Coturnix japonica: one gene and its partners. The protein of the gene in region 3 interacts with the protein of the main gene of each other region in a pairwise test. Links are inferred from orthologs where the notes say so. Each region holds a gene or a part of one and is shown on either strand. Other genes may lie near its edges. The genes, in order: SSX2IP, RANBP3, MORN4, BEND3, TRIM23, SEPTIN6 and HMMR.

Evidence for each region.
Region 1: the proteins of MORN4 (region 3) and SSX2IP interact in binary tests that used the Homo sapiens proteins (3 or more experiments, as listed by UniProt). The two-hybrid records come from large-scale screens. The link is inferred for Coturnix japonica from reciprocal best matches to the Homo sapiens genes MORN4 and SSX2IP.
Region 2: the proteins of MORN4 (region 3) and RANBP3 interact in a two-hybrid assay, tested with the Homo sapiens proteins (2 studies listed by BioGRID). The two-hybrid records come from large-scale screens. The link is inferred for Coturnix japonica from reciprocal best matches to the Homo sapiens genes MORN4 and RANBP3.
Region 4: the proteins of MORN4 (region 3) and BEND3 interact in binary tests that used the Homo sapiens proteins (3 or more experiments, as listed by UniProt). The two-hybrid records come from large-scale screens. The link is inferred for Coturnix japonica from reciprocal best matches to the Homo sapiens genes MORN4 and BEND3.
Region 5: the proteins of MORN4 (region 3) and TRIM23 interact in binary tests that used the Homo sapiens proteins (3 or more experiments, as listed by UniProt). The two-hybrid records come from large-scale screens. The link is inferred for Coturnix japonica from reciprocal best matches to the Homo sapiens genes MORN4 and TRIM23.
Region 6: the proteins of MORN4 (region 3) and SEPTIN6 interact in binary tests that used the Homo sapiens proteins (3 or more experiments, as listed by UniProt). The two-hybrid records come from large-scale screens. The link is inferred for Coturnix japonica from reciprocal best matches to the Homo sapiens genes MORN4 and SEPTIN6.
Region 7: the proteins of MORN4 (region 3) and HMMR interact in binary tests that used the Homo sapiens proteins (3 or more experiments, as listed by UniProt). The two-hybrid records come from large-scale screens. The link is inferred for Coturnix japonica from reciprocal best matches to the Homo sapiens genes MORN4 and HMMR.

What each region holds. Positions count from the first base shown.
Region 1 is NC_029523.1:14,419,795-14,423,294, reverse strand, and holds part of SSX2IP (afadin- and alpha-actinin-binding protein), read right to left. Parts: intron 3,377-3,500; coding exon 3,301-3,376; intron 3,217-3,300; coding exon 3,045-3,216; intron 2,724-3,044; coding exon 2,573-2,723; intron 168-2,572; coding exon 31-167; intron 1-30. UniProt on the Homo sapiens protein: Belongs to an adhesion system, which plays a role in the organization of homotypic, interneuronal and heterotypic cell-cell adherens junctions (AJs).
Region 2 is NC_029543.1:279,871-283,370, reverse strand, and holds part of RANBP3 (ran-binding protein 3), read right to left. Parts: exon of another isoform or gene 3,208-3,500; coding exon of another isoform or gene 3,184-3,207; intron 1,685-3,183; coding exon 1,648-1,684; intron 1,569-1,647; coding exon 1,482-1,568; intron 1-1,481. UniProt on the Homo sapiens protein: Acts as a cofactor for XPO1/CRM1-mediated nuclear export, perhaps as export complex scaffolding protein. Bound to XPO1/CRM1, stabilizes the XPO1/CRM1-cargo interaction. In the absence of Ran-bound GTP prevents binding of XPO1/CRM1 to the nuclear pore complex.
Region 3 is NC_029521.1:19,470,883-19,474,860, reverse strand, and holds MORN4 (MORN repeat-containing protein 4), read right to left. Parts: upstream 2,801-3,978; 5' UTR 2,671-2,800; intron 2,392-2,670; 5' UTR 2,361-2,391; coding exon 2,294-2,360; intron 2,153-2,293; coding exon 2,038-2,152; intron 1,951-2,037; coding exon 1,841-1,950; intron 1,675-1,840; coding exon of another isoform or gene 1,629-1,674; coding exon 1,480-1,628; 3' UTR 381-1,479; downstream 1-380. Other genes in the region: PI4K2A (phosphatidylinositol 4-kinase type 2-alpha), read left to right, coding at 3,230-3,625. UniProt on the Homo sapiens protein: Plays a role in promoting axonal degeneration following neuronal injury by toxic insult or trauma.
Region 4 is NC_029518.1:61,788,397-61,792,519, reverse strand, and holds the start of BEND3 (BEN domain-containing protein 3), read right to left. Parts: upstream 2,801-4,123; 5' UTR 2,686-2,800; intron 1,620-2,685; exon of another isoform or gene 920-1,619; intron 1-919. UniProt on the Homo sapiens protein: Transcriptional repressor which associates with the NoRC (nucleolar remodeling complex) complex and plays a key role in repressing rDNA transcription.
Region 5 is NC_029547.1:14,362,179-14,365,678, reverse strand, and holds part of TRIM23 (E3 ubiquitin-protein ligase TRIM23), read right to left. Parts: intron 3,161-3,500; coding exon 3,039-3,160; intron 2,115-3,038; coding exon 1,836-2,114; intron 1,284-1,835; coding exon 1,101-1,283; intron 554-1,100; coding exon 338-553; intron 1-337.
Region 6 is NC_029519.1:15,401,085-15,404,584, forward strand, and holds part of SEPTIN6 (septin-6), read left to right. Parts: intron 1-464; coding exon 465-651; intron 652-869; coding exon 870-1,031; intron 1,032-3,500. UniProt on the Homo sapiens protein: Filament-forming cytoskeletal GTPase. Required for normal organization of the actin cytoskeleton. Involved in cytokinesis. May play a role in HCV RNA replication.
Region 7 is NC_029528.1:8,992,149-8,995,648, forward strand, and holds part of HMMR (hyaluronan mediated motility receptor), read right to left. Parts: coding exon 3,418-3,500; intron 2,543-3,417; coding exon 2,442-2,542; intron 1,889-2,441; coding exon 1,814-1,888; intron 966-1,813; coding exon 787-965; intron 124-786; coding exon 1-123. UniProt on the Homo sapiens protein: Receptor for hyaluronic acid (HA). Involved in cell motility. When hyaluronan binds to HMMR, the phosphorylation of a number of proteins, including PTK2/FAK1 occurs.

The DNA of each region.
Region 1 (3,500 bases), on a different chromosome or scaffold from region 3:
TGGTCTTGAAAATAACAAAAAGCCTGCTACCTGTAAAAGCTGCTGCTGAGTTTTGATCATTTCTTTACATTGCTGAATTTCTAACTCTAGTTTTTCAGTTTCCAGCTCATGGTCTTCCCTTGAAATTACATCTTTATCATTCAAGGCTCCTGAATGCACACGTGACACTAAGGGAGAAGAAAAAAGGGAAAAAGGTTACTTAAAAACAATACATCACAACACTTAAAACTCAAAGCAATAACAAAGATTGTTAAACTGTAATAGTTTAATTCCAAAAGACACATTCATCATGCACTCAAAATTCCTATTATCACGACAAGCAATCCAGAATTGGTACTACACTCGTAATTAAGAGCTACTGCCATTTATCCTGAGCTGAACATTACAACGTCACCTCAGATTTCACATTTTGTGGGAATACAAGAAAAGCTGTTCAGAGCAGCAGCTGTGGAGCAAGATAAACAGCATGAGAACCAAGGACACCTCTGCAAGGAGAAGAAGGGTCTCACAGCTCTGATTGGATACGTGCCTGCATGGACAGTTGAAAAGTGTTTTGTAGAATGCTTTGTTGACATGTAAAGGTGGTTGGGAAAGTTGTAAGGGCAGACGGGAAAGTTAGAAAAATAACTTGTGAAGGTAATATAAGGGATGTGAGAACTTGTAATAAACGATTTGGATCGTTCACATCTGAGTCCGTGCCTCAAATGCTGCAACATTTATTCAGGTAAATCACAAATCTGTGCCGCAACAGTGTTGCCCAAAAAAAAAAAACAACAAACAAACAACCAAACAAAAACACCACCACCAAAAATAACCACCACAACTTGTTTCAGCAGTTATTTAAAAGAAAATAACAAGTGAAGATTTCTTTTCACTGATGCATGGTTAGCCTATTCTGAGCCCACTATTGAAGGGTCTATGTGTTCATAAGAGTATGGCAGTAACTATATATACCATAGATAAAAACGGAAAGATTTTTTCCCTCGTGTTCTATGAAGGAGAAACAGAGCTAACAGTTGGAACACTGTGTGCACATTTTTAACTCAGAAAGGGAATGAATCAGAGAGGAATAAAATGTGCGTGAGATGAAATAATGTAATGTGTGGTTGTACAAAGATACAACCATCCCAGCATTTGTAATATGCCAAGTCTGGATCCCCTGCTGACAGTGTTTAAACACTAAGCAAATGCTAACAGATCAGAACATGGTTGTCTCTATAAACTCAAAAAGAAAAAAAAGAAAAAGTAAATAAAAAGTAACTCCAAGAAGACTGCAAATACTCGAATCTTTTTTTCCTGATGCTTACAATTATTTTTTGTCAGTACACTGAGTCAAATATTACTCAGAATAAGTGATCTTAAAATCCTTTCTGTAAGAATATGTCTATACCAGAGACCACCTGCTCTTTTATTTGCAACTACATTCATGACCTTCTCACTCTTATTCCTGACTGCAAACATCCTTGCTGTAGCAGCAGCATTTGCTTACATTGGAAAATAATACTAGGAAAGAATTTTATATATTTTTAGCTGTCTTTTAATGCTGTTTAACAGCTGGAAATGAGGAGAGTCCAGCACCATACCATCAACTAGTTCATTTTAGAATGCCAGCAGAAGCACTAGAGATATGGATGTAACGAGCTCAAACTTTAAGAAGGATCTGTGTATCACATATCCCAAGTTGAAAGAAACTGAGTATCTGCATTACTTGAACAGCTCAGAGAAACGGGGAAATACAACCAACATTTACAAGGGCTGCTCTGAAAATAATGCTTCCTGCTTAAGTTGGCCCACAACATCAGAGGCAGACAATGGTGGCAGAGGTCGAACCTTCTCACCAGCATTCTGTTACATTTCATTGCCATGTGACAGATGGCAGCAGAAGGGCAGTAATGGCATCTGACATGGAAATGCATATGAAGCAAAGGTGTGTCAATGAAAAAAACAGCTTGCTGAATGTTTATGGAGGCCAAACACAGTGGATGTGAGCAAAGCAAGATGGTGCGTGGTCTGTTTCAGCAGTGATAACAGCATGTCACCTCCACTAATGAAGATTTTCTGTAGTTTTTTGCAAGCATGACATGTAGGCTCCTGTTAACTACTGGCAAAAGCACATAGCTAATTAATGGTGACTACGTCGAGAAAAGAACAGAACAGTATTATGCAGTTCAGAATTTAGTCTATTCAATAGTACTATTGTGCTCTTTGTATCTGCTACAGTTCTCATGAAAATAAACAGAAGGCATTACTTTTGGAGTGACCTGCATATTACAGTGCACGTGTCTCCAAAAGAAAAATAAATTATTTCTGAAGAAAGCTGTTTACTCTGTCAAACTACAATTGTGTCTGTTCTCAGGATAACAGACTTGCTAGGCAATAGCTTTCCTAACTTCCCACAATTTAAACTCATGTAGAAAATGACAATCACAAGCCTTTTCAGGGAGTCTATCAGGTCACAATCCCTTGCATTTTAGCTTCCACTTAGTTAAGACATACAGTAATGTAAATCCAAAGAGCATGACACCAAACAGTCAGGAGCATTTTACATGTACGCATATGAGTTAAACACCACCTTGGTTATCCAGCCTTTCAACGTGATTTTTCAACATTCTCCATTGTTTTCTAATGCTGTTGGTAAGCTGCTCTCGCACAGTTTCACATGACAGTTCCCACATATTCTCTTTATTTAACTCTCCAATGTCCTCCTCCAAGTCTGAAAGTACCTATAGAAATAGAAACAAAGCCTGGTGCAAGCAATCTTAACGTTCAAAAAATACACATTTAAATACATACGTAGATTTGTTTGACCAAAGAAAAGTAAAACTTATATATGTGTGTGTGTATATAATATAATATATAATATATATATATATAAACCTATATATACATATAGGTTTTACTTTTTTTTTTTTTTTTACTATTACAAAAATAATGAAAAGATTTTTTCAGGTCCTTCCACTGCAAGCCTTCCAGGAAGTATTTTAATCAGATTGCTCCAGCACTGCAAACTATCACAGACTTAAGCTTAACCAAAGAATACTTACTGGCCCATCTTCAGACCTTTCTTTAGGTTTTTGTTTCTGTGGTGGAAGAAGTGAAATAATCTCTTTCTTCATTTGCTGAAGAACTTTTTTCAGCTCAGCATTTTCCAATAAAAGCTGCTTTTGGCGTTGCTCATAGTCACTTAGCAGAACTTTGTACATTTGTTCTTCATTTCTGAAAGCAGAAATGTGACAGTAACAAGGTGACAACATAACAAAGAGTTTAATTAATGTTGTTCTAAAGCAACTACAGTTTCACCTGGCTTCTGTCTTATCAGTCCTCCACGCACCTCTCTTCCCATCAGCTCTACCAACATAATTTAGAACTTCCATAGCTACAAATGAAAAGGAGATTTCAAAGCATGAAACAATGTGCAATTACATATTCAGATGACACTTCTTTTACCTTTTTATGTATTTACTGACAGAAGACCGCGTTACCCAAATATCCCCCTCACT
Region 2 (3,500 bases), on a different chromosome or scaffold from region 3:
AAGTAAAAAGAAAAATAAGAGAAGCTGGGTATGCCGTTCTTGATTATAAGTTCCTTTCCCAAAACAAAGTTTTTCTGATCATTTGCTTTACTTTGCTATGGTTTTTATTTGTTTTGTTTCTTTCTACACTAGAATAGTATTACAGATACAAAAAACAAGCAGATCCTTGCTGCTTAGTTTCTCCTGTAACAGCAGCATTCACTGCCAAGAGGGAAGACAAACAGCATTCCTAGTTTGAATTCTCTCCTGAATTACAAATCAAAAGAGATCTCACAAGGTTCCTTTGTGACATGATTTGAGATATGAAAGAAATAACAGCCAATTGCTGAAGTGGATCTCAAAGATTCTGCTATCACTGCACAGCCCATGGGACGCAGAAAGAGAATCCAAGCTGGTAATCCATGAGTGGAGAGATGATTTCCAAGTCATGACTACCCTGTGTCTCCCCATATCTCATATAGGCCCCTTCCAGAAGGAAATGGGAACACCACCTGGTTAGTTGGGATATGAAAAACCAGGTATGCAGAGATGTCTTTGCCTCAGTCTTCACGCCACACTGCCCAGGCCACAGAAGGCAAAGACAGACTGGGAGAATAAGTAACTGCCTGCTGCTGGACAAAACCAGATTTAAGACCATCCAAGTAACCTGAATATACACAGGTCTATGGGACCTGCTGAGATTCACACAAGTGCCCCTGAGAAACTGGTGGATGAAGCTGGCGAGCCACTCTCCATTCTGTTTGAGAAGCTGTGGCAGCCCAGGGAAGTTCCCAATGACTGGGAAAGGGGAAACATAACTCTTGCTTTTAGAAATGTAAAAAAGGAAGTCCTGGGAAACTACTCACCTGCATCCAAGATCACAATCATAGAATTTCCCAGCCGAGATGACCAAGAATGGACTCAGGTCTGCCTTAAGCACCACAATATCTCAGTTTAGATAATCCTCAGCTCTGTGGTTTTTTGTGTGTCACACCAGACCACTCCAGTGTATATGAGCTAGAAGAACTTATCTGTGCCCTTCACAGTGCATCTCTTGCATGTGCTGGGTGAGAACACTGCTGAAATGCACTGTATTCTCTCCACTTGAGGAGGAATGAGAAAAAAGGAACTGACAAAGGGAACTTGAGTACAAGCTGAGATTAGATCTGACAGCACAGAACTAAGGAAAATACAGCATTTATGCAAAGTCTCTAAGAGGTGATTTTATCACGACAAAGCAAAAAGATACCTGGTAAATTCTTCCATTGAACAGCATAACATTAGAAGCTCCAGCTGGTGCATGTGTATGAAAACATACAAGTTTGTGCATCAAAATCTGTTGGGCTCGATTAAATTTGCTATCACAGACCATAGGGAAGTCAGTATGTGGCTGCTGTGGTCATTAGAGGTAAAGCAAAGCAGGCAGTAATAAGACTGGTGTGACTCGGAGAAACAGAAATAGGAAACCCAGCTCATACAGTACAGTAATAATTAACATTTACCTGACTGAGAAGGAGGGAACTGTGTTAAGGATGAAGTTCTCTCACGCTTCACAGGCGGACAGTAGTTCCCATCCTCTCGATCAGATTCTGTAGGGAAAAAAAAAGATTATTTTTGGAATTCTATTTATCTACCAGCACTTCTTAAGTTTACAATCACATTTCTTACCATCTCCATCTTCTGGACTCGATCCATCTGCTGATCTCTGAAATCAGAGGACAGGGACAGTTATCAGTTCCATCAACAAAACACCAGTGTTGGAGAGACACCCTATGATATCAGTTCCAGAGCACCAGAAGGAAAAGCAGGCAGTATCACAGGCTGCCCTTTGCCACAATGAGATATTTGAAGTTTTCACATCTTCTGAGGATTTCTACATCACTTCCCTGTTCCCACAGAACTGCCCACAAGGAATTCCATGTGCTGCAGGAGGCGAATGGAGCAGCATCACCACCTTCTCATTACAACATCTACCCACATACATTCACCTTTATCTATGCAATACAGTTTTCTGTTTTAAGATGACAGAAGAGTGAGTTTACCAGCATCCCAGTCACGTAGCTTTGAAATCTCAGTAAGGAATTAAGAGCTATTTGCAGTTTTAGGAATAGTTTTCCCATTCCAACACTCATCCATCAATCCAATGCAGTAATATTGTGTTTGTTATCCACACCATCCCCATGTAACTCACCAAGTAATCCACATTACTGAAATATGGCTTTCATAGGCACTGCTGTTGTCAACAAACACTACTTTCCTGAAAGCTAAAGTGAAAACCCACAATATCTTCCATTTGAGCAACCAGTATTCAAAGAGAGAAAAAAGCTGTTTTGTGTAGAAAGCACAGTCAGATACTCCAACCTGCATCAAACTGCACATCTGTATGTGCAGAAAAATCAACAAGACTCTTCCCCCCAAGTTCCAAAACCACCTAAAACTGTTAAATGATACTCAAGCATCAAGAATATAATATTATTTTAAGAATATAGTATTATTGTAATTATTATTTTTTAATACTTGCTTCCAGCAAAAGGTACATCCCAGGTCTCTGCTGTTACAAAAACACTTGCAGGCAACACTCACTCCATCAGGTGGGCACTCACCAGTCAGGACACCTCTGCCCCAGGTTTTCAGGCCCCCTTTTGCAGGCTATCAGTTGGACTTCACAGCACTGTTTTTACACACACAAACTACATAACAGAACTGAAAGCCAGGACCACCTCACACAGAACCATTACAGTGACCCAAATGACTTCATTCTACGCAGCTGCTGGAAATCAGGAGCTGTGAGACAAACCAGTAATCCCTGATCTGACCCCCAGTTTGCTCACCCAGTGTAAGAGCTCCCTTACTCCCTTCCCCTACTTAGAAATCCAACTAGAAAAAAAGTTACAAATATTTCAGTAGCAGCTCCTGCAGTTTCGACACATCCCTCATTAACCAAATTACCTTTTCTAAAGGCACCCAGCTGCCTTGTAAGAGTGGAAGCAAATGCAGATTAATCACCATGTGCTCAAGTGACATCACTGCACCCTTACACCCACTGTTTCCTCACACTGTTTCTGGGCCACTACATGCACTGCAGGTGCTACAGACTAATAGACATGAGCCTGTGGCAACTTCAGCAAGTCTGGCCGCTTTTGTCTCTCCCTGTTTGGTACCTTGTGATCACTATTCATTCTGAATTGGGCCAAAAAGGCTCACCCCAGACAAGGAAAAGAAGCACATGTCCCATGTGGAGTAGCCTTCATAGGCAGAACACTATGAAACACACCCAGCACGTGCAGTCACAATGAGGAATGCAGACTCACCTGCACCAGGAAGCCACGGCTCACCAAGCAGAAAGGATAAGCCCCATTTTAAAACTACTCTGAAAGGCTGCAGGTAGCAGTCCTCCAGTCAGCTCACCTTTCCAAAAGTGTTTACCTGAACCATTAGTAGAAATAGCTTATGCTGGTATTACTGAGAGCTTTATCAAGTACTTAAATTCAAAATTCTGCTTTAGCATCCTCCTTGGTGCT
Region 3 (3,978 bases):
TTGGGAGCTGAGGATGCAGTGGAGACAGCAGTACATGGCCAGGAGGAAAACATTCATCTCACTCCTTCCTGATGGACAGGGCTTGTGGAGGGAAACCCAACACCTTAGCATGTCCAGATTGGGCATGCAGTGGCCATGCCAGACCCCTCGAAAACCCCCTCTGGGCTCAGGCAGCAGCCCCCCATCCACATGGGTGCCCACCTGAGGTACTGCAGGTTCCCCCCGTCCCTTGGGGTATGGATGCCCGACGCTGACCCAGCCACCCTACAGAGCACTATGAATAAACCTGCCACCTCCCCTCTGCATATGCTTTTGTGCCTGTGCAAGCAGCTGACCCTGGGGCACAGGTCCCTGCTTCCCAGCAAGATGGACACAGCTCAGGAGTTTGGCAACATGGTTTACTCTGCTGAGGCCCATACAGGCAGCAGCACAAGGCAGGGACACAGCAAGGCACGGGACCGGTGTGGGCAAAACCTTCAGGGAGGGCACAGTTGGGCTGAGAGGGATACAAGGGCCGTGTCCTGGTAAGCTGGGCCATGCTGGGGGGAGAAGGCAGGTACACACAAGGAGAGATGAAGGATGCAAGTGCTGGAGCAAGATGGGGAGCTACCTGCACCCTGCCTGCACCCTTGTCATGCTCTTTTCCCTGCCCACCCAGCCCAGGTCCCCTGCACCAAACCTGGCACTTCATGCTGCCTTGCCTCAGCCCCTTGCCCCTAGTTTGGTCTGAATCTGTTTATTTCTCATCATCACTGCTGCCTTCACCCAGCTCCTTCTGGACACAGGATGAATGTCAGGCCAAGCGTCTCCTGGCCCCAATCAGTGGAGATGTCTCCAAGGCATCAAATGGGCTGGGTAGGCACAGTGATGAGAGTGATACAGTCAATTGCCCTTTCCATGATCCCAAGAGCATGGGGGATCATGTCACACTGCCCAGTGGGTGCAGCGTTGAGGGCACAGGCCACGGAGTGCCCACACTGCCTGGGGACCTGGGCTGGAGAAGCAGGCCAGGATCTGTCCCTCTGTGCACACATGGTCCAGCCAGCTGCCCACTGCCTGCAGGCATAGGCACCCTAGGCAATAGGGCCAGGAGCCAGCCCCAACCCCAACTCCTCTGTTTGGTTCCAGCCATGCCATCCCTCATTCCTGCTGGTGGCTGCTCTGGTGGGGTTGGGGCCAGAGTGGAGGCTCCTCGTGGGGAAGGGGGAGGGCAGCAATCAGAGGGAGAAGGCACCACGGTGGCCCCAGTAAGCAGAGAGCCACCTAGGGGCACTTGGGTGAAGGGCACAGGGGTCTGTTTTCCCCACCAGCACAGTTTGGCAGGGAGGTCTTTCCCATGCAGTGGAAGGACTCCCAGTCCTGCCAAAGTTGGGTGGCTGGCGAGGGAATGGATTGCAGTGCCATGGCCCTGCCCTGGGTCAGCCAGTACCAGGGGGAGTCCCACTGCAGCGGGTGGGGGATGCAGGTGCCAGGGTGCCATCACGCTGTGAGGTTGTGAGCAGACTTGGAGGCAGTCTGGGCCCTCTGGATCACCGCCTGGCACTTCTCCCGCCGCAGCAGCTTGTTGTTCTCAAAGAAGCCCTCGTTGCGGGGAACCCCATGAGAGCCGTCAGGGAACGTCAGGAGACCTGGGGAGGGAAGGGATGGGAGTGACAGGGTAGGGAGCAGCAGACACTGGGGCCAGGCATGGACAGATGGAACAAGACACACCAACAGGGCAGGACAGCAGGGGCAGGGGTGGGCAGGACTTTGCTAAGCTGGGGCTGTGCTGAGCTTTGGCAGGCACATCCTGCTGCTCTGTCAGCACGCACCGAGCCAAGAGGAACCTTCAGACACTCACCAAAGCCATACACACGTCCGCCTTTGAACTCGCCCTCGAAGGTCATGTTGTCATAGCGGGTAAAGACGCCAACACCGCTAAACTTGCCCTGCACAAACTCCCCCTCATACCTGCACGAGACAGAGGGAGCATCAATGGGCCAGGTACTCACACCGGACCATGCGGGCTGTGCTGAGGACACGGGGTGCTGTGCTCACCTGGAGCCATCAGCAAAGCTGAGCACTCCACAGCCATGGAACAGACCGTTCTCAAAGTGCCCCACGTAGGCGGTGCCATCAGCAAACGTCAGCTGGCCGATACCGTGCCTGCGTCCTAGCGGGAGAAAAAGCCGGCAGCGATGGATGGAGCGATGGCAGGGGCAGCCCAGCACAGCTCTGGGCGAGGATGCTCAGCACAGCTCTGGGCTATGGAAGCATGCAGTCAGCTGTGCCACCCCACCCCGCCCCATCTCACCTTCCTTCCACTCCCCGCGATACTCCTCCCCGCTGCAGTACGTGAAGGAGCCCTTGGTGAGGGTCATGGCAGCGCCGTGCAGGGAGCTGTAAGCAGAGCTGTGAGCACAAAGCTGTGAGCACAGAGCTGTGAGCACAGAGCCGCGCTGCGGCAGGGCCGGGCAGCAGCACGCACACACGACCCCGACCCCGCCGCTGTAACCGCAGCCGCCGGGCTCGTGTTGCCGCCCGCCCCACGGCGGGGCACGGAGCCACCTGAGCTGCCGGGGGCGGCAGCCTCGCTCGGGCTGCAGCTCACCCCCGGCCTGCAGCTCACCCCCGGCCTGCAGCTCACCCCCTGCAGTCGTTGCGGGCAGTGCCGCTCCGCCCCGCGCTCACCTGCTCCGTGTCCGCCGCCCGTTGCTCCGCTCTCACCCCGCGGTCCCGCCGAGGGGCGGCGGCCACCTCCCCAGCCGGCCCCCCGCCCCGCCGGGCGGCGCTACACCGCCGGCATCCATCCCCGCCTGCGGTTGGCTGTCGCCATGGAGACCGCTAGCAACGCGGCTTCTCATTGGTCGGCTCCGCTGCCTCGCCCTCGCCCGCCGCCATCTTTGCGCGGGGCAAAGCCCGCGCCCCGCCCTGCCGCCATCTTTGTGAAGGGCGGCGGCGGCGCTGCTGACCCCAGAGCGGCCATCTTTGTGCGGGGCACCGAGCCTTCCTCGGAGACGGACCGAGGAAGCCCCCGCTTCGCCCTGTCTCGCCCGGCTCCTCCCGAGGGCCGCGATATCCGCCGGGCCTCCTCCGAGCACCGCCATGGGACGGACGGACGTTGGGCCCGGTTCCTTCGGCATCCGGCGGGCGGGGCGGCCGATGGAGCGTGACGGCGCGGTGACGTCATGACGTCATGACAGTTCGCGACGTGACGTGACGCGACCGGAAGCGTTGGGCGGCGGGCGCGATGGACGAGACGAGCCCGCTGGTGTCCCCGGAGCGGGCGCAGGGCCCCGACTACGGGCTGCCGGGCAGTGCTGTGCGCACGCTGCCGCCCGCCGCCCCCCCGCAGCCGTCGCCGCCTCCTTCCCCCGGTGGCCGCGATCGCGAGCGGCAGCCGCTGCTGGAGCGTGGGGCGCGGGGCCCCGCGGCGGCCGCGGCGCAGGCCCAGGCCCAAGCGGCGGCGGCGGCGGCCCAGGCTCAGGCGGCGGCGGCGGCGCAGCGGGAACGGAACGACTTCCCCGAGGACCCCGAGTTCGCCGAGGTGGTGCGGCGGGCAGAGCTGGCCAGCGAGAGAGGGATCTACCCCGAGCGCATCTCACAGGGCTCCAGCGGCAGCTACTTCGTTAAGGACCCGCAAGGAGTGAGTCGGCAGCGCCCTGGGCCGGGCCGGGAGCTCCCCTCCATCCCGGTGATGTGGGCCGGCAGGGCCGGCAGCTCGTGGCTCTGAGCTGGGCGCTGCGGGGCTGTGCCCAGCGGGTATCTCAGTTTGTAATGCATGGGCTGTGCCACACTTAAAGCTTGTTCCCCTTCCCCCGTAGCTGTTGTGTCCAGCAGGCGCTTCTCTCTTCCTGTGGATCGTCAGCTCCTGACCGTGGTGACTAATGACATGGGATGGGAGCTCTGACATAGGGTGACGTTCTGATATAGGATGGGAAGCGTTAGGCCAGTGAGACTGGAAGGAGTGGATCTCGAGGTATAATTGATTCTCTGATG
Region 4 (4,123 bases), on a different chromosome or scaffold from region 3:
CTTAAGAACGTGTGTTATATGTTTATTCCTTCCAGTGCCTCATGGTGGTACATTGCTTCATGCATAAAAGTCACAGGCTTTAATGAGAACTACTCGAGTTTTGTTTACATCCGAAAAGGAGAAACTGTTACTCACATTACTCAAGACAGGACACAGTGTTTGCTCGTCACGTTGGGAATGTGTTTAAAAGCATATTTGAAGAATATGTTCGACTTTGTGGCTTTCAGCGTGCAGTGAAAGCACTCAGCTAACCCAGCTAAGGAGCTGATATTGTAAGTAGGCAACATTGGGTACGTTTTACAAGATGAGTACACAGAACTGCTGGTATTTAACAGAGAAAAAGTAGCTGGCCTCACTGCAACAGCACTTGATCAAGTCAACGCTACATGATGACAGTGTGGTTTACCCAAAGCCAATCAAGGACAGTTTATTAGTTAAGAGACTTCTCAGACAATAAGGGGTCTGAGGTCCTGTTCCACGTCTCTGGGTCTGTACTTCACGTAAAGCATGTGTTGGATAAAGCAGTGTAAAGACTCACAACTCAAAAATAAATGAATAAACAGTAATAAAAAGGACAGAATGCAGAGAATCCAAAGGAGTGCCACAAAGGTTTTCAAGGGGCTGGAGAAGTTGCTGCAGGAGGAAAGACTGAAGGAGTTTTAGGCCCTTTCAAGCTGGGGAACAGAAGGCTCAGGGGGCACCGCAGTACTTAACAGGTAGCCACAAAGAAGACACAGGGTCTCCCTTCACAAGGAGCCACATGGAGACGATGAGGGGCAATGGACATGAGCTGTACCAGGAGGGGTTTTAGCTCGATATAAGAAAGAAATGTTTTACAGTGAGAACATCCCTGGAACAAGCTCCCAAGGGCCATGGTAGAGTTGGGCAGAGATGGGCAGACAGTGCTGGATCATCTCACCTCGGCTCCCTTCTCCAAGGAAGGCTGGGCCTGATGAGCTTCTGACTTCCCTTCCAGTTGGGGCTGCTCTGTAGGCCTAAAACACAGCGATCCACCGATCCTCCTTTGGAGGAGTCCACCAGCAAGGAAGCAGCTGGCTGGATGCAGTTCCACCCAGTGCAGGGTGGTTCTAACTACCTGATGACACTGAACACTCTGCCCTTTGTGATGTTTCAGAAGGTTGAGGTCAGACTAACTCTCTGCAAGGACAAGGGCTTCTGAAGCCACATCTCTGGCTCAGGTGGTCCAGGAGCTGCCTCCCTCTTTGGGTGCTGCTCACCAAACAGCTGCAGGGCAGCTCTTCTGCTGGAGCAACCCTATAGAACTCTGGCTTTGGCCACGTCATTCAGGTCTTTTGCTTCCTGCCTGCAGCACTGGGGCCAGGTCAGTGATTTGAATTTAAACAACAAGGCAGAAATTTCTCAACACCCTCTCAAACAGCAACACGACTATTTTACTCTGGACTTTTTGGCACTTTCATTAATGCTTTAATTTCCTCTTTAAGTATTCTCCTGTTATGGAAAACCTCATCACCACACTCATTTGCATGACGTGGAGAATAAGCAAATAGCTGCAGCTGGCTGCCAGCACGCCGCTACCTCAAACATCTGCATTAATCATGTCTAAAGTTACACCTCAAACCACCAGCACAGACAGACAGCAGATAGAAAGAAGCAGGACTCTGCTTTTCTTGCTCTTGAGCTGCACTTTGCACGTGTTCGGTTGGGTTCCATTATAAATCACCGCATATTATTTCTGAAGGGTGTTTTGGAAGAGCAGGGTTAGTTGTTTGAGCAGCAGGTTGAGGAAACAAGTGTGATGCCCAAAGCCTGGGCCATAGGGGTGGGAAGGGCCCTCTGGGGACCATGCAGCCCAACCCCCTGCTGGAGCAGCATCCCTACAGGCTTCCCTGTATATCCCTGTACAACCCTACAGGCTCCTATGAAAGGGGACTTGTACATCTGTTACCCAAACAACCAGCAAAACGCAAACAGGGCACACAGTGCTTAAAGCAAATGTTCTCTATTCCATCTATTTGGTGACAGCGGGGTGCTGCCCGTGACCCCAAAATGGAGGGTTGGAATACAACCTATTATTGATGCCCCACCGTTCAAAACCAGCATTCCGACCCCCACCAAGGGCAAGGGGACGGACCCATCACCCTCCGTGTCCGCTCCGTTCCCCGCATCCCCCCGTCGCTCTGTTCCCGTCGGGGAGGCGGCGGCCGCCACGTGGGAGCGGCCCGGCCCCGCCCCGAGGCGGAGGCTGCGGCGAGGCCGCCCCGCAAACCCCGCACGCGGCGCCCGCGGCCGCTTCCGCGGTCAGACCCGCGAGCCCGGGCTGCGGCGGCGGTTGGAGCTTCCGGTCCGAACCATGGCCGGGCGGATCTATGTGGCCGGTGCGAGCGGGGGGAGGGGAGGGGGAGACGAGGTGAGACAAGGGGGGAGGCAGCCCGGCGCTTCCCCGCAGCACCTCGCAGCACAGCGCAGCGCCGCGGATGGAGGCGGCCCGGGCCGGGGTTTCGTGCACCGAGTCGCCGTCGCGAGCGGCGAACAAAGAGCCCCCGCCCGCCTTGCTCCGTGTTGGGAGCGGGGCCCGGCCGCGGCGGGGCGAGGGGCCGCCTCCTCCTCCTCCTCTTCTCCTCCTCCTCCAGCCCCCAGCCCCCGGCCTCCCGCCGTCCCCTCCCCGCTGCCCCTTCCCTCCCGTGCTGCGGTGGCGGCACTTACCGGGGCGCGTACGAGGGGGCGCGGGGGCCCCGGGACGGCGGGGGCGGCTGGAGCGGCCGCCGCTGTTGGCCGCCTCTCCCCCCCGCTCTTTGTGTGCGAGGGTCCGCGCGCTGCGCTCTCGCGTGACGTGACGGGACCGTGTGTCATTTCCGCACAAGGACACCGAGCCCCGAGCCGCCGCGGCCAGCGCCACCCGCCGCCCCGGGGCAGGGGCAGAGCCGGGGGGTGGGGGTGGGAGCGGGGATGAGGGGGGGGGGGCGGGGAGGAGCGGCCTCTCTTCCCCCCCCCCCGTTCCGCCCCCACGCCGCCGCTCCCACCGGAGAATCCCGCGAGCGCGGGCCCCGCCACGCGCGCTCCCGCCGCGAGACCCGGCCGCACGTGGGCAGCGCCGAGCACGTGGCCGCGGGACAACGCGCTCCAACGGTGGGCGCCGTTATCGTGCCCCCCCTCGGGCCCTCGAACGGCGAATCGCGGCCGCCCCACGCGGGACCCCGCGGCGGGCAGGGGGCTCCGGGGGGATCCGCGGGGCCGTGGGACGGGAAGCGCTCCCGCTGTAACGAGTATCCGCGCGGCCGCCATCCGTTTTGACAGTAACGCGTGGAACGTCAGCTCGGCGAATCCTGCGCACGGGAAACCCCCGCCGGTGAAGCCGTACATGACCGGGAGCGCGGCGGCCCCGTGGCCGCGCTGTGCGGAGACCCGGAGCTGCGGCGCTCGGTCCCGCCGGGCATCACGCGGCCGCTCGCACTGCCCGCGTTGTTCGGCTTCTCCCGCAGCCGGGGCAGCGCGGTGCCGTGTCGCTGCCGTCAGTGCGTGGCACACGGCTGGGAAGTGACTTTCCAGGAACGAAACTCTCCGAGCAAACCCGCTGCCCCATCGGCACTGCAGCCCTCCCGTAGGATTCCTGGAACAGGCTGCCCAGGGAGGTTGTGGATGCCCCGTCCTTGGAGGTGTTCAAGACCAGGTCGGACGGGGCTCTGGGCAACCTGATCTAGTAAATGTGTATGTTTGGTGGCCCTGCCAGGCAGGGGGGTTGGAACTACATGATCCTTGACGTCCCTTCCAACACGGGTCATTCTGTGATTCTGTGATAGTGCTCCCGCTTTCCCTTGGACCGAGTGAAACATAGCCAGCCTGTGATCTGAGGTGCTGTCGTCAGGAACAGCTCCCTGTGATTTCTGTCTTCTGTTTGTGTGGCTGCTCTGAGTTTAGACTTTAGGTTTGGGCCATGCTCACAGTGCCACAGTGGCCACGTAATGCCCATAGAATGCTTTGCTGACTTCACGTTGGCTGCTCTTTTTGTTGTTGTTAAGGGCTGGCTTATCCCAGCAGAGCCCATCCCAGCAGAGCTGCCAGCTTCCACACCGCTCTGACGGACCACTTAACGAGGGTACGATTTATTAACGAGACAAGAATCTACAGCCAGCGATTCATCGAC
Region 5 (3,500 bases), on a different chromosome or scaffold from region 3:
AGTCATTTAGTATAAAACTGTTTTCAAAAAACCATTTTCAAAAAACTGTTAGCAACTGCAGCTATAAAATCCTTCCCACAAATCCCACAGGCGTTTTCTTCCTTCCTTCCATTTCACCTCTGTTCCAAAAACCTCTCCCGTATTCAACCAGAAGTTACTCTAGAGTCATGCCATAGAATTTACAGCAACTGGAGGACTTGGCCAATCTCATGTAATATAATTACAGTTTTAAAATTATAAAATAAAATAAAATGCAGAACACTTTTTTGTTTGTAGCCTAAACTTACACTGCATTATCTTTCTCTTGCCAGATGCTGCAGCTCACTTGCCAACCTACCTGTTGTAAAGTCTTTTCACAATGAAGGCAAGCTGTTGAAACCTGTGACAATAGGATAGTCATGTCTTCTTGTTGCTGTCTAAGCCAAATCAATTTCTCTCTCACATGAGCATCAACAACACTAAGAGCCATTTCCTCCTGTCGACAGAGGGTTTCATGAAGATCCGAAAAATAGGCTCGGACACATGAGCGAGCATTCTCTGCAGTCCCAGGTACCTACAGTGTCACAATCAAAATGTCAAGAGAATCAAAAACACCACAAGACTGTACAAGTGTATGTGTCATTTTATTCATATCTCTTAATTTTGTTCAAGCCTGTTTAGTTACCTTACAGTTCTAGTCCCATTTACATAGACAGCCTCATCGTTGTTAAGGTCAAGATTTCAGATAAATTATTTCAATAATCAAGTAGCCTTTACACCTCTTTCCTTACTGACTCTCTACATTCATGATGACTAAAAACCTTGACACGTACTACAAGATTGCCTTTAACTGTTGTCTCAATAACAATATTGGGACAGAAGTCTTAATCTCTCAGTAGACATTAAAACTTAAAAGTTTTGTCTTGTAAAGCCTACATATAGTTTTCCAAGAACTTCCTTGAAATGTAATTGTAATGAAGTATGTTATAATTAACTACCTCCCAAAAAGATCTTTATTTGTTAAAAGCTTAAAAACAACCTTACAAGCTCCCATTTGTTATTACAATCTGTAAATATTCTGTATATGCAAGAAAGAAAAAACAACAAAGAAGATAGCATACATGTTCTGTGTGGGCCATTCCAACTCCATCTTCAACAATTTGCTCTCCTCCTTCTATATGCTGAACTATTCCAACTAATTTTCTGGAATAATCTGAGATTTCTTCTGTGAAAGTTCTTATACAGTGGGCCATGTCTAAAATGGATGCACGAATCTGGTTTGCTTCTGGTTCCAAGACAGAATGCTATTAATTAAAAGCAACATATCAATGATCAATCAAATATTTTCTTTAAATATCACTTCTGTCGTACTAGATAAAAAATATATTAATTAAGTAAATCACATAAATGCATTATTTAGAATCTAAATACTATTCTACTACTAAGACAGGCATCTAGCAATTATATAAGTACAAACAGAAATTTGCCTATTTACTATAATTACTTATTAAAGCACACACAAAAGGGAGGTTGGAATGCAACTGATTGGGTGAACAAACTACAAGATGAATAACAACCTTCAGGTCAGGCAATAAAATACCATGAGAAGATCTGAAAAGCATCAAATTAACTATATAATTTACTTATAAGTAATATAGTCTTAATCGTAACTATTTTCCCTGTAACTTTTATTGTGGCAGTTCTCCTAATGAAAAAGGAAAGAAAATAATGACAGTACTTCTATAAAAGCACATCAAGATTCTGCTCTCCTCTCTTGATAACTTTTTCTACTTAAATTGGATAAATAATATGCAAGTCATTCCATAGCATGACCAGAAACAGATTCTCAGCAGTACCTTATGACCTTGATGCTTCCCATACTCTTTGCAGACACAACACATGAGAGGACTGGCTTGACAATCCTCTTCTAAACAAACAAACTCAATAGCATGCACTTGGTGTTGGGAGCACATGGTCTTCTCATGAGGTTTATCAGCAAGAGGTACACGTTTGTGTTTCGCTAGTGTCTTTGTAGAATGAGTAAGCTGAGAACAGTCTGCACACAGGTGAGTGGCACAAACAGTGCAATAAACAGATGCAACATGGGCTTCATCTTCATCACAGCGAATGATACTCTAAAAAAATAACACCAACATAAACCAAAATTGTTAGTATTTATTAATATTTATTAATATATTAATAATATTTATTAATAAAATATTAAAGTATTTATTATTTATTAATAATTTATTAATTAATAATAAAAGTAATTATTAATATAAATTATAAATAATTTTCAGCAACAGCGGAAAAGTCAGAAGACCCGACACCAATATGGACTACTTTGAAAACCTGACCTCTTGTTACTTAACAATAATAAAAAAATCACTTTCCCTAACAGTAAGTTCCAATATTACTCTAGAGGGTTTTGATTGAGCGGTTAATTGACTTTCTAAATGTACACTTCAGCAGAAGCAGTAGAGCTTTTGAGGCTAAAGTAATTCAGGTTCCAGACAGCTCTTCAACATAAGCATTATGGAAAGAAGAATGAGAAAGTTAGAGACAAAACAACAATAGAAAAATATGTGCTCAGAACAGTGATCTGCTCCTAAAATTGCACTGCATGCTTTGTGCATAACAGCTGTTAATACCAGACTGCTTAAAGCAGTCCTTTCTGGTAAAGAAGCTATTATACAACACAGTCACACTGAATGACTATAAAAGGTAACTATCCAGAAAGAAGAGCTGTTTCAAAGTCTGTAAAAAGAGATGCTAGGAAGTTCCAGAAAACTCTCCTAAAATTATTACAAATAAAATATCCAAACAAGTAACCCTCTGGAAAAGTCTTTAAAGCCTAAAAAAGGGGGGAAGACTTGGTAATAACTTCTCTGATTTAGTAAGTGCACATTAGAATTAAATTATGAATTACTGATAATCTTCATGTTAGATACAGAAAGAAAACAACTTTATTAATGCAAACACACTTGCCAAGAAAATTTTCTTCTATCTAATAATATTTTTACACAAATGTAACACAGTTCTTTTTCCAAAATCTGTACCTCTCCAGATAGACCAATGGCTTCTTCTGCTGTCCCACACTGTCCAGGAGGCCCATTCTGCAGCCGTTCCAATAGTTCCAACAAAGCAAAATTCTTTTTCAGTCCCCAGACACCAGAATCTCCTATTTTTGAGAAACAACTAAATAAAGTGAGGGGATAGGAATAAAACGCCTAAGCAAATAACATAATGAGAATTTCACAAAGCACAGAGAAGATTTTAACTAACATTAAAAAGAACATATAATTCCAGTGAGGTACCATGGCTGCTCAATGTCAGCTCACAATAACATTCCATCCTGTTCCTTCTTTCCATCATGGAATTATTTACTGTTTATGCAGATTGTCCCTACTTAAGAAATGCCACTTGTAAAATAATCCGCGATAACTAACAACAAAAGACCATAAGAACTATAATTATCATGAAATTTAATACAATTTACTTAACTATGTATAGTTAACATT
Region 6 (3,500 bases), on a different chromosome or scaffold from region 3:
TGAATGGAGATGCATCTTTCACCTGCAGGAATTGGGACTGTGAGAGCAGCAAGCCATTTGCTCCCTGGGCGCAAGGGAGACTTACACTGCTGCCAATGAGTCTGCATTAACCTTCCTTTTAGAAGCATCTTTCCTTCTCTCATTTTGAAGTATGAGGCCATTTTCTCTGGAGGAAATTAGTCTGTAGTAATCCATAGCCTCTGTAGCCCCTGTTAGTAGTGTTTCTCCTCTCTGCTGAATAGTCAGCATTTTTGTCAAACAGGCTGATAGTGTCTAATTAAGATCACATCTGCTTGCTAAAGATGCAACATTTATATTTCTTATGGGTGAGGAGGAAGGGAGATTTGGAGAATTGGTCCTGGGAAGTGAATAGCTAAGAAGCAGCTCATTTTTAAAAAGCTAGCATAGGAGTAGAGGTGGCTTATCTCTGTGAGACGTCAAGATTTTTCTTCCTTTCATTAAAGCTACAAGCCTATTGTTGAGTTCATTGATGCTCAGTTTGAAGCCTACTTGCAAGAAGAACTGAAGATAAAGAGGGTCTTGCACAATTACCATGACACCCGGATCCACGCTTGCTTGTACTTCATTGCTCCGACAGGCCACTCGCTGAAATCCTTGGACTTGGTAACAATGAAGAAGCTTGACAGCAAGGTAGGCAATTTTAACTGTTACTGTGCAGGTCACCTTGCACATGATGGAAATGCTGCTGCTTTTCCAGGGCATGTTTCCCTACTTGCATTCCCCTTATGCTATGGCCGAGTTGGCAGATGCATCCTTTAGACTTACTGAGTGCTTTTAAGTTTTTTATAAGTTGCACTACAAGACTACCTGGAGCAAACCCTAGGACTTACCTCTCTGTTTCTCTCCAGGTCAACATCATTCCTATCATTGCCAAATCTGATGCCATTTCCAAAAGTGAGCTGACCAAGTTTAAAATCAAGATCATGAGTGAACTGGTCAGCAACGGTGTCCAGATCTACCAGTTCCCCACAGATGATGAAACAGTGGCCGAGATAAATGGAACAATGAATGTAAGTGACTCAGCACTTCCTGCTCTCAGAACATTACTGTTGTAGTGGTGGCGGCCTATATTGCAATGTTTCTTAAATCCACTTTCCCTTTTATTTTCTGTCTTGAGAACAGACAATCCATTTTTGTAGTGTCACCTTAGGCTAGCAGAGCCTTGAGGAAGGCTACTGCCTCTCTGGCAGGCTTTTCTAGTCAGAAAGCAGATGGAGTTTAACCACTTCCTTGTCTTAAGGTGTAAGTGTTGAGGTACATACAGGGAATTGGACAGATGGTGAAGTCTGGCCATGCTGGGCATGGACAGTCCTGTGCTGTGAATTAATCAGATGAGTATTATCTGTCTGCAGCAAGCTCTGCATTTCACACACCAAACAGCTTTGCTGTCCTTGATGGGAGTTTCCTGTGAAGCCTTGCTTCTGCAGGTGTCTCCTCCTGCTGTCCTTGGTCTGGTTTTGCCTTGCAGCTCTGGTGAAAGATGTAAAGATTGGCCAGGAGCAGTGGGTTGGTTAGAGCAACCCCTTCATTTGAGGTACAACTAAATGCTGACATGAGAAACATGTTGTCCAGTCACAAAAGATATAGTTTGTGCCAGGGTGGCCCAGTCATCTCTCTCTTCCAAATGTCTGCTTTTGGCCACTCTCAGAATAAAAAGAGATACTGTATAGGATGCTTCCTTGAAATATTTCTTCAGTGTCTGATTGCATTCAGATCAAGGATTTCTGTCCCACCTGATCCTCTTCCATCACTGAACTTCCAGGATCCTGTGGCAAGATCACGCAGTTGATCCACCTGTTCAGAACAGAGTACACAACTTGAGTTAAATATGTTTTAAAGCATCTGCAATTACTTTCAGGCTGTAGGCATTCTGGGCTGTATCAACTGATGCACAGAGAGATCAGCTGTTTAAATCCTCCATTAAACTAATGCAAATCACAATTGCCGGGTGTTACAACTGGAAAGATTAGCACAGTGGAAGGGCAATACAGGACTATAACAGCAAAGGGACCAGCACAGATAAAATGGTATTTCAAAGGAAAAGTAAAGGTACTCACCTATCTCTGAAGATTAAACGTTCTGGATCAGCTACCTCTTCTTTTTCTTTTTTTAATTACAGGGAAAATTGAGACTTATCTCTTGGTTAATTAATGTTTTGCTTATGACCTGCTTTGATTATCTTTAGCATGGCAAGTAAAATTAGGTTTTAAAATATGTGAACTCATTACTTAGTGTGCATTTTAGGTTATTGTATTGATGCATGAGGAATTCTTTCATAGTATTTTGCATTCAGGGTTGACTTACTAAACGAAGAGAATACGGCCTGATGTGACAGAAATCAATCAACTGAAGATATAAGATCTCTGCCATTGTGATCAGAAGAAGTATTTAGCTGTGAACAAAGGTGTCAAGTGCAGCATTTAGATACCAGTTGATTAAACAAATCTTCAGAACAAGATGCTTGGTTTTGCTTCAAATCAATTTGGTCTTTCTGAGAATCCCACTGTGCATACGTTTACAAGTTCAGAGATGTAGAGAGCACTTGAAAATACTCCCCAAAATTCTTTGGATCTCCTCCCATCCATTTTTTTTTTTTTAAAACATAATACAAAATTAGATCTTTGCTATTCTTTCAGCTCCCAGTTGGCTTTTCCATTTTGATTGAATCAATTTAATTACTGCAGAATGTATTCTCCCTACACCTGGTAGTTAAATGAAGCCATGTGTGACTATGTGAGCTGTTTGTTCCACGTGGTGGGAGCTGGAACTTTTGGAAAAAAAGGAAATCACCAGCACTTTCTCCCTAGGTAAAACAGCAGCCAAACAGTTGATACTGATAGGTGAACCCCTAGCAGAATAGGCCTAGCTCTATGCTGACCTGCATCCTTCCATGTGCTGACATGTCAGCGCAATTCTAAAAGTAACTGTGTGAAGGGCACCTCAAGAGTCTGTGGTGCCCAGGGCCTCCTCACGGCCCAGAATGGCCCCTCCAGACTGACCGCTAAGCCCCACTTGTACTGTTGTGTCCTTCATGAGACAGTTTTGAGGCCAGGTAATAAAAGCTGAAGAGCTGTAAACAGTGTTCCATTCCATTGGCACCCTGAGGCACTTTTAATTGCCCAGAACCAAGCACAGTTTAAAGGCTCTAGCTAACAAATATCTCTGCACAGAACTCAGCAGAAGGGGTGAGTGCATGGAGCTGGCAGCTTTATTTTTAAGTATTGAAACCTTGCATTCAATTTCTCTGCAGCTTGGTGGAAGGTTGCATAGTTCCCAGGAGCAAGTGGAGGTGGGGAGAGATCTCACTCATTGCACAACAGAGAGACTTCAGTCTCCTGATCTGATAGAGCAAGCTATCTTGTGTTCTGGTGTGAGCAGAGGGAGTGGGAGGGAGATAAAATAAAGAAGACTCCAAGAAGGCTCGTTTATTGCTTCTGTGCTTGTGCAGATGTTCTCCTCAGCCCTGGCAAGCCCCTGGG
Region 7 (3,500 bases), on a different chromosome or scaffold from region 3:
ACTCCTCTTGTTTCTGAAGCAGTTTTTGGTGTTCTTGCTCCTCTACAAGTGCTTTATTTTTCAGCTCTTCTATTTCAGCATTCATACTCAAGATTTTTCCTCTGCTCTCAGATGATTCTCTCTCTGCATAGAGTTAGCAAGAATGCAATAGGTAATGCCTTCTCTGCCTTCAAAGAAGCACAACATCTACTCTAAAACTAAAATAGCATAACTAAGTAAAGTTAGTTAAGCATGGAAAATACCCACCTCATATATTACCCCCTTTGGAATTCATCAAAACCAACTGAAAGAATCCCACTTCTAATTAGGCATGAATGGTAGCAAACATCAGCTCAAACAATTAGCTTTTATCAAATAAAGTAGCACAGACAGGAAAAACCTACTAAATGGTTCCCTCAGAGTTGTGAGGAGTAGAGTGGAGTTAGGGGAGCAGAAGCAAAGAAGGATTCCTGGACATACTCCCAGTACCTCTGTGAACTTGGGTATAAACCACTAACAGTGAAATAAAGGTGTATAGTACTGATTCTTAATCAAAAAGAACAAGCATTCACCTTTTTGATTGAAGAGTAGCATTGAAACAGTTCGTATTTTTACACTATTTACTTCAGTATGTGGAAATATAAACATAGACTCAGTTGTTTCCATACAGATACAAACAGGCTGGTCTGTTTTCAGCTGAAGCTGAGATATGATTTGGAATCCACACTACCATTTTAGACAAACATTTGTTATAGGATGCATATGTGATCCCAGCTACATGAACAGCATTCAACAAGTAGCAATTACCTTTCTCTTGTTCAAGCAACTCACACTTTTCATTAAGTGCTCTAATCAGTGTGTTTGATTCTTCCTCTTTTGTTTGGAGTGCATCCCTCAGGATCTTGATGTCCTGGTCTTTCTTGATCAACATCTCCTCCATCTGAGCAACGCCTAGCTTGTATTTCTCTACAGCTTCTGCAGCACCACTACAGAACAACATTTATTGGTTACCATAACTTCATTTTTAAGATTTCACTTTGGCACAAATGAGAGATGCTTGGAATACTGAATACTGTTTGTTTTTAGCAGGAAAGCTTCCTTTCCTTACTTAGACTTTTTTTTTTTTTTTGCAGCATTAACACAAGTTACTTAAAATTAAACAATAATAAAATACCAATTTTGATATTAAGTTCAATTAGAAATAAAATTACTCACAATACTTCATTTACAGATCATCTCTACACCTGCTTTTTTTAGAAAGATGAGTTTGACAGAAAAGCACACACACAAATAAACCAGACTTCACAATAAGTAGAAACTTTAGGCAAGTTCATGAGGAACCTCTTACTGAGTAAACTGGCAGAAATGGGACGCTGGTGGAGAAGGAAGGTTCAGATCGAAGGGAACTAAATTGGAATGCTTTTGTGTTTTCACAATTTTCTGAGCTAGGTACACATCATTGAGGAGCTGGTTAGTGCTTCCACCTGTTACATAGCACTAAGCTGGTAGTGTTCACAGCCAAATCAATATTCTTAAGTGCCAGAAACAAAGATTAAACATCACAGCTATAAAATATAAAATAAAAAACAGAAAATTCCAGTAGCTCAGAGGAAGAAAAAACAAAAGCTGAGTTTTGTATACAAATAACTTTCTAAATGTGGATACACCTTAACTCCTTCCCATCTGTCTGGAAGGATAACCACTTTTTCCCTCCCACACTCTTATTACTGTAGAATTGTTCCCAAAATTCTGCTTCACTGAGGAAAAAAAAAAAAAAAAAAAAAGCTTAGTTTTACTGCCTTTTAACACAGTCCAATTCCAGAACAGTTTTTACCTGAGCTCTGTGATATAATCCAGGAGTCTTTCAGTGTCACACTTATCTTCCACTTTCTCTCTCTCCGTAGCAGACCTAAAAAAAAAACCCAAGACATTTGCACTATAAATAGAAATATTCAAGTACATCAGAGTTATTTGTAGTATCTATAACATCATAGGTTATTTGTTTACAGGTAAGCAACTAGTAATCTGTCACTGGATCACTACTTAATACTAATGCATTCTTCCCATTATCAAGTGTGGCTGACACTTCCATTTGCACTAACAACACTGTACCACATTTTAGCACAATTGAGTATGTTAGACAGGCTGCATTGGTTAGACAAATTATCGTTGCCTTTCGTGAATTGCATTACCTACAATATTAGATTACAGTTAAAATACACAAAACTAAATATAAAAAATGTACTAATTCAAGCAATTGGATATTAAAAGGGAGCAAAAGTCCTTTTCATATAGGGAAAATTTTCCCACAGCAAACATCCAAACATCTCACCATAAATTTTATCTCAGGCCACTGTTAATTTCTGTTTCCTCCCAGTAGAAAGATGGCCTTAATTTTTCTCCAAGCTACAAACAGCTCAGATATTCATGTTACTACATCCATTCCTTTTCTTACTACTTACAGTTTTTCTTGTAACTGTGCTACTTTTCCTTTTGAATGCTCCAGATTCCTCTGTACTTCCTGCAGCTTCATTTCCATGTTCTCCTGCTTCGCAAGTGCAGTCTGGAAAAAGGTCAGTGTTACCACCAAAACTAGTATGACAGAAGTTAATTTTCTTTGAGTCATATTAATTTTTAATTAACTCAACCAGAAATTAATTACAGTACTAGCCCCTATGCTAAATGTGACTCCTTTATTCAAATTACCCATCTGCAGATATAACAACTGTTCATTACAACTACAGGCATACACTACCCAGAAAACCCACACACAGCTGTAGCAATTGGACAGATCAATATGAGAGGAAACGTATTACAACCTTTCTTTCTCTGTTGTAACAGAGCTTTGATGACAGAAAGACCAGCATGACAGAAAGGTGCTATAAATGAAGGAAAGACTGCTCACTCACATCAGAAGATTCCAAGTTCGCAGGGGAAAGCTTTGCCAAGGAGGGATCTCCAGAAAGAGACCCTTCCCCAGCAGCAGTCAGCCCTTCAATGAGGCCTAAGAGAAGTGCAGCCAGGCTGCAGCCCTTCAGGTCACACAGCTGTGTTGCCTTCACCTGTGCTCCCAGGGCTGACCCAGTCCTCTCCCTACGTACTCAATCAGCAGTTCAGGCCATGACTTGAAAGCTCCCATTCAATGGCTAAGAGTCAATTTGAGGCCACTGCTTTTTGACTACATCAAATGTAGTCAACAAATATATCTATGTAGTCAACAAAATGTATCTAACAAATATTTCTACAGTTTGTTATTCAGAGGAACTTCACATATCAAAAGCGAAATAAGGATCATTCATTATTATCTTTCCTAATTCCATTGAATGAAAAGCAGTTTTTGAGTTGAGGAAAGAAAAAAAAAAAAAAGAAAAAACTGCTGCAAGCTCTTTGTTGACCGTTCCTAGGCAGATCAATCCTGTACAGTACAAAGCAGCTTACCTTCTCCTTAGCATCCCTCTTGGTTCTGAGCTTCATTAACTCCATACATAGACTGCTCATTTTCTTCTGCACACTGTCTTCAG